2 linked regions of the Daphnia pulex genome follow. The protein of the gene in region 2 purifies or fractionates together with the protein of the main gene of each other region. This does not show direct contact. Links are inferred from orthologs where the notes say so. Each region holds a gene or a part of one and is shown on either strand. Other genes may lie near its edges.

Region 1 (3,889 bases), on a different chromosome or scaffold from region 2:
TCATTTGATATATACCACAAGGGGTTTAAGAACCAGGTTTTGAAATGGCCAGTCAACCCATTGGATATCATCATCACTGATCTTATGAAAGGGTAAAATAAAACAAGCCATGTGCTAAAAAATTGCTTTAATTTAACAAATGAAAATTTTTTTTTTAGTCCTAGAAACTGGGTGATAGCTGATTTTGGTTGTGGTGAAGCTCAGATAGCAAACACCATTCCTAATAAAGTTCACTCTTTTGACCTTGTAGCAGCAAATGACAAAGTTACTGCTTGTGACATGGCTTCTGTTCCTTTGGCAACCAAAGCTGTTGATGTGGTATTTCAGCATTATTTATGCATTATAAATTTTGATCAAACAACAGATATTGCTTGTTCAGGTGGTCTTCTGCTTATCTCTCATGGGTTCCAACATACATGACTTTTTAAAGGAAGCTAATAGAGTCCTTAAAATTGGGTAAATGCTACATACAGATTTTAAAAAATAATAATCTTTATTGATGTAATTTTTAAATTACAGTGGTACTTTGTGTGTAGCTGAAGTTGAAAGCAGATGTAGCAATATTAATGATTTCTTGAAAACAATTGAACGTTTTGGATTCCAACTCAAAGAAAATAACGTTCAAAAATACTTTTTTCTCGCAAAGTTTAGCAAGATTCAAAACATGAGTCCCAAAGCAACTATGCCAAGAATATATTTGAAACCTTGTCTGTACAAAAAACGATGAATAGAAAAGTACACATAAATGTTGAACATCATAACAAAGAAACCGACTCATTATATGTTACGAATGTACAGAAACGTATTTGGTTGAAATAGAATGTTTGTTTTAAAAACTGAAAGAAAAATTAGATCACGCGCAGAATTTGTGCATCAACTATTTTGAATGCATGAATGCCAATTCAATCCTCCACATGCTATGCTAACGACAAAATACACAATAACCTACGGAAAAATAGATATTTTCAATTAGATTTCATTTAAAATATTATTCCGAATTTTAGAATGTAGTTCAGGTCGATAAATGGTAAAAAAAAAAAAATTACGAATGAAATAAAGATAGTTATTTAAACTGTAAAACAATTATAACATACCAAAATCACGGCAGCAGTAATTGCTGTTATTTTTATGTTTTTCCAGAACAAGGAATTAGCCAAATTTCGACTTGATTTCCGGAAAGTAACAGCCTAAAAACAATTTAAAATAACTTACTTGGTAAACCAAAGTAAAATTTAAAAATATCTAAAATATACATACTGACGCGCTGAGGCTTTCGGTTTTATTAACCAGTAATTCTAATCTTTCGCCACGTGCCGCTAAGGAATCTAATAATGAGCAAAATTAAATTAAATGGTATTATGTTACTACTGCTGGAGGTTGCAAATTCTTGCTGGCTCGTATTTACACTTTACCTATATTTTTCACCATTACATCTTTCAAGTCGTCCAATTCTCCTTGAACTTGAGAAACGGTATCGATATCTCGAGATTCAGAAAAGTGTTTCTGGTTTTAAAAAAAAAATCTCAGTAATGTCTGAAATAATTGAGAAGAATTTCACGACTTACCATTAGCCCTGCCAAAATTTTCGAAAACTCCGTGTTCATAGCATATGGTAGAGCAGAGTATGCATGGGCTCCAAAAGTATTTACAAATTTCTTTTTAACTTCATTCAAAAATAAAAATGCTCTTGAACGTTCAAATTCCTAAAATAAAGGTTTCTATTTATATATCATCTTCTACAATTGCAGACAATAAAAAAAAGATTTACATCATCTGAGATGCAAAGATAAATTATTCTGTCTTGCAAAATATAGTGGAACAAAAATGATCCATGAGAGTAGGTCATTTTTGAATCATCAAGTCCAATTTGAGCTAGAACTTGCTCTGTGATCTCAGAAAAGTTTCCAGTACAATTATTGGCAAATCTAGCCAAAACAGTGTTTCCTCTACTAACAACACTATATAACAGCGGCATTTTCCTTCTAAAAAATTAACATATGAGATTATGTAATAAAGACTAAATATTTTTTATGGGTCAACTAATCTCATACCAACAAAACTTTCTCGACGATTCAGACGATCTTCAATCCCATCAATAACTTGACGAACGTGTATAAAAAACTGCAGAGAAACTCACGATGGATTACAGAACTTATGAAGGAGCAGATATTATGACACTCAAAAGACGTTGCTATAGTTTTGGATAGTTGTAGGACGAATATAATTAATTTTTGTAAGTATTAAGGATTAAACAACCTATCTTAAATTATCAAATGACAATCCACTCCAGTCAATGACTCAATGTTGACTATTGTCGGAACCACGTTATAGAGTCTATGGTTTGCTCACTCACTAGAGCAGAGCAATAGATACCTGGTCGGTTCTCGGCCGTGTTGGCTTCCCTATCCCGGTTTCAGGGTAAACGTGGTCCGATTTGGAAAAATTGATGAGCGCCTCTAGTGAGTGTGTCAGGTACTACGTGAAGCCAGCCAATCAGGAAGGGTCTATGAAAAACTCATTGACCAATCACAGCTTACTTTTCTACAAGAAGTGAACAAAATAAAAAGGTAGAAGTATCCAACTGTCAAACCTCTAGGTCTTTTCTAAGTGTCCCAACATTCTTACATTTTATTGTTTGGTTGTGTAAATTGTTTATTCTTTGTAAGTGTCCAAACATTCTTACATTTTATTGTTTGGTTGTGTAAATTGTTTATTGTTCCGTTGACATAATACACTACTTCTTGTTTTGAAAATGTACACTTTTCACATTATAATTTTCATTTGGTAGTCGATCCATCGAAATGCAAAAAATCGTTTGTTTAATTTGATCAAAATACCATGTCCAATTCTTTGGTACCATTGATGAAGTTACTAGTGACTGAAATGTCACAAAATTAGACTTGAAATTAGTAGAGCTTGCTTCCATAGAAGGTGATGTAACTGTCGAATCATCAATGACAACAGCAACATTTTCGTTCATTACATCAGGAAGTGGATCAAAAATTGCTTCTTCAGCAGCCTGGTGAGTGTCCATTGATTCTTGAATAGTAGAGGTAGCTTCCATAGAAGGTGATGCAACTGTCGTATCTTCCATGACAACAGCAAGATTTTCCTTGATTGAATCTGGAAGTGGATCAAAAATTGCTTCTTCAGCAGCCTGGGGAATGTTGATTGATTCTTTAATAATTTCCATGGAGGGTGCTATCAGATAAAATTTAAAGCAATTGCTCTTATAAATAAAATGTAACGAGAACTATTATCAATACCTGTACTGTCAAATTTTTTTCTCTTAGACGTAGTAGGTATTTTGTCTACTTTTGGTCGTTTCCTTACTGATGCATTGCTAGCATTTGTTTCCACTACAATACATATTTAAGAATTGCGTTATTTGATATTAAACAAAATAAACATATTTAAAAATACCATTAAGGTTATTTCTCCATTTGAAACCATCAACATTTTGCATTGCTTGTCGACTAGGTGTATCTAAAATGAAAATGGTTCAGTTTCTGTGCTTTACAGATTATACAGGAAATGTAATATCAATACCATTTATCAGAAAATGTTTGGGAATTGCTCCAGCATTACGATTCCTACGTTTGAAAGGATGGAACACGTTCAAAATTTAAATCCCTGATTTGAAGTCACTTTCGTCAAAATGACGGGAGCAAATACGTGAGGTGCTCGTCAAATAACTACATGGAATTAGTTCTCGCCATTTAGATAATGAAGTTTTAGGAATTGCAAACAGGGTAACCTCGTTTTCTTTTTGATTTCCTTTGAAATATGTTGATTTACAACCAGGAACAGCACACCTGCCAACCATTTTTACAGAAATTATGGTTAGGCTTCATTCACGTAATACACGATAATGGCCGCCGTATTCACA
Region 2 (3,462 bases):
TGATATAGATCATGCGCCTTCCAAGTCCCCGTTCGACCAGAGCCCTCCCCTCCTCCTGGTTTCACAGCGGGTGAGTGACCACCGGCGGGCGTTGGTTAGTGGTTAGTTAGGGAAACGGGGCCGCAGAAAAGAAGGGAGCCCAGATATGAACTTGTAATTTATCTAAAAACTACACAATTGATCAGTCTTGAATTACAGCATCCTCTCGTCAGTTTCACCATCCGATGGGTCAGTCTTTGGAAAGGCGACGACGGATTCACCTGAAAAGAGATTAAAGTAAGATTTTATTAATAACGATGCGTTGAGAAACAAATCAACAAAAAACAATGGAGAGCACTTCAAAAATATTGAATCAAATCAGCAAATCACAAATATGCACTTATTGTTTTCTTATGCCATATCCTATAGTTCAGGAAAAATTACGATTTTGCCCGAATATCTGATATTCGACTGTTAGTTCTTTTGGGCATCAAATAAGTACTAAATTAAGTACTGACTCTTTTTAAATCCGAAAGTAGACAAGCAAATTACATGAGACTACCAAGTGAGCTTTGTAGCTTACGGTCAGTTATCACAATTATCTAACGTAATAACTGCCGATAGTCTTATATGTCGATAGAATTGCGTAAAATAAAAGAAACTGAAACAGCGAAACTATTGTTTTTTCTGACTGATGAAAAACGATCTAAGCCATCGTCTAGCCTTGTAAACAAGAGATATTTAAAGTTTTAAACAGCAAAATTAAAAAGATCCATGCTCTAGCTAAATCAAGACTTATACTAAAATAAGAAACAATCATAACAAACAAAAACATAAAAAAACCTAACACTCACGCAAATTATACTGCCACATTATCACAACCAAAGTTCTTTCTTTTAAGGCACCGTTCTCTGGACAAAATATTTTCCAAAATTCTGATCAGAATCAAAAGAAGAAGTAAAAGGAATTAGTATAAACTTTACAGCACAACTTACAGTAAAACTTACACCACGAATATGAAGAGAATTTCAGTTGGATATTTTGCATTTGTCCTTGATTATCTTTGGTTGCAATTGAAGAACAACCTGGATCATGCTATTTTCCTGGATTTTTTCCTAATGGACATGGATTTCACTGTTTCAAAAAATCAGATATCAAAAGAATTGATAAGTGTTGAGGAAATAAAAAATACAAATTGTTAAATCAACTAAGCGCAATACACACTTAATCTGCTTTACCACATTATGCTACTTAACAAACATTTTGAAATGCTAAAAAGCTCACTTTAAAAACTGCATCGAAACGTGAAAGACAGTAACTATAACCGTACACACTAACCATGGCAGTAGAAAGATCATGTGATGTGATTCGTCTACTACTAGATAGCTTAAGGTTGATTCATTTATTACTAGATGGCTTCTGTGTCAAAAATATAAAAGTTGATTCATTTATTACTAGATGGCTTCAGTGTCAACACAAGAACAGAAAGAACATAAACAAAGGCCGTTTTCAGTCGTAATAAGAAATAAGCTTACGAAATCCTTCAAGTGTGAAAATAAAAATCTATGTTTTCAGCATTGGTTATGTCAGTGAAATAATGTCAAAAGTTAACAGTTCTTTCAGAGTAAGAATATATGAATTACCTCTGAATCGCTTCGCAAATGTTGCGTTGCCACAGTTTCTTGGACAGCTACAACAACATGAAAGCAACCTAAATAAAGTTGGTCTTTATGATTAATGCACATTTCTATTATTATTTTATAATTTAACTGTTTCATTTGCATAGCATATCAAGGAGAAAGATTGGGACAAAGTACGAACTGAACAGCTAAAATTACAACAGGTTGCTTCTCAATTGCAAGCTGCTCTACGAGAATTAGAAGGAGTTGGATGTCAGTTGAAACCGGAAGATGAAAAGGAGTTTGAAAATAAAATTAGACCTTACAGAATTCAAGCTTTAAATGCTGTAAAAAAATTTAAACAAAACCCGAATGAAAACTTTGATTCCCATGTATCGGAAAGTGAACAAAAGCAACAATTGATGCTAAGTCAAGAACAGATTTTACCAGAAGAAATTGAAGTAGAGCAACGAAAAATTCAGCTTGAGACATATGAAGATTTGCAAAAAGATATAGAGGAGTTACACAACCTATTTTCAGAATTTGCTCAACAAGTTCATGTAAGTCTCCTTGATATATATATATTTTTTTTAAAACAATAACATTGATAAAACATTTAATGTAGACTCAAGGAAGTACAGTCAGCAACATTGAAAGCAATGTTGATGATGCTCTAGAAAATGTTAAAGAAGGACAACAGAATTTGGCCAAAGCTGCAAAGTTTAAGGCAACTATGTATCCAGTAACAGGAGCTCTTATTGGTACTTGTATTGGCGGCCCTGTTGGCTTTCTTGCTGGCTTAAAAATAGGTGGGCTTGCAGCACTTGGAGGTTCTTTATTGGGCTTTGCAAGTGGTCGTGGTTTAAAGAAATGGCAAGAATCGGTCGTTAATGAACCAGCTGAAAATTTAACCAAAAGTCAGTCATCTCCTGTTAATTTAGGCAATACTTCTGGATCAAAAACAGTTCCACACTCAATCAGCTTTAGGTAACTTTCTAAAATATTTATAGGGATTGATTAAAATAAAAATGGTAACATTTCTTTATTTTTTTTTAAAATCTATACGTCGTCACCAGTGGTTCACATCAGAAAGAAACGATGGCGATTGATTCCAAACGTGATGACTGCGACCGTGATCGACTACATCTAAAAAACCTATAAGTGGATTACTATATTTATCTGGACTGAAACTGTAATATAACGTTTGCGAAGTTTTAAAATGTCGTATTTATGAGTATTCTCTTGTAACGTGTTGACTTAGTTAGTTAAGTATATCCTACGTCTTGTTAGTGGGTGGACTCCTGTAGTTACAAGTTGGTCGTTCTCGATTGTTGGAAGAGGCGTAAAAATCTGATTCTCCTGGATCGAAATCTTAATTCCCGCAGGGAGACTAAGATGCAGTGAATTCTAAATCGAAGAAGTCAAACATTCCATGTTTTCGAATATTTGTCAAGTCAAAGAAGTTGGCGAAGCCAAAGAAGATTGTGAAATGTATAAAGTACGACCATAAGTAGAACTCGGCGCAACCCGAAGATTCCGATCGTGTGCAAACTAGCCTGTGTTTCGTATTGTAACACACTGCTCTTGAGAAACAAAGGGGATCAAGCCCCGCTTCCCCTGCCCTTCTAGAAAACGGCGGAGTTCGAAGAACTGGGTAAGTGGATGGCAAATCTGCAAATAACGTCCCGTCTTATTATTGCTCAGAACCACGAAATAAATAAAAGAGATCCAGCCAAGTATAGTAGGATTCCAAAAGAAATTGGATGGCAAATCAATAACCCGAAACTTGACAGAATACTTAGTAAAGAAGGCTGTAAAGAAGGAGCTTGATTGGGCATGGCTTTCCATTTAAAAGTTGAAAAAG

Evidence for each region.
Region 1: the proteins of syntaxin-17-like (region 2) and vesicle-associated membrane protein 7-like purify together in Drosophila melanogaster (affinity purification with western blotting; 4 studies listed by BioGRID, with this or other methods). This does not show direct contact. The link is inferred for Daphnia pulex from reciprocal best matches to the Drosophila melanogaster genes Syx17 and Vamp7.

The regions. Positions count from the first base shown.
Region 1 is NC_060018.1:6,537,224-6,541,112, reverse strand, and holds vesicle-associated membrane protein 7-like, read right to left. Parts: upstream 2,344-3,889; 5' UTR 2,257-2,343; intron 2,122-2,256; 5' UTR 2,052-2,121; intron 1,983-2,051; 5' UTR 1,976-1,982; coding exon 1,769-1,975; intron 1,704-1,768; coding exon 1,566-1,703; intron 1,504-1,565; coding exon 1,413-1,503; intron 1,326-1,412; coding exon 1,258-1,325; intron 1,188-1,257; coding exon 1,095-1,187; intron 946-1,094; coding exon 874-945; 3' UTR 728-873; downstream 1-727. Other genes in the region: ribosomal RNA-processing protein 8-like, read left to right, coding at 1-92, 159-318, 380-456, 520-727; uncharacterized protein LOC124188813, read right to left, coding at 2,735-3,201, 3,267-3,359, 3,424-3,466.
Region 2 is NC_060017.1:5,925,369-5,928,830, reverse strand, and holds syntaxin-17-like, read left to right. Parts: upstream 1-1,435; 5' UTR 1,436-1,576; coding exon 1,577-1,699; intron 1,700-1,765; coding exon 1,766-2,158; intron 2,159-2,223; coding exon 2,224-2,585; intron 2,586-2,653; exon of another isoform or gene 2,654-2,674; coding exon 2,675-2,759; 3' UTR 2,760-2,835; downstream 2,836-3,462.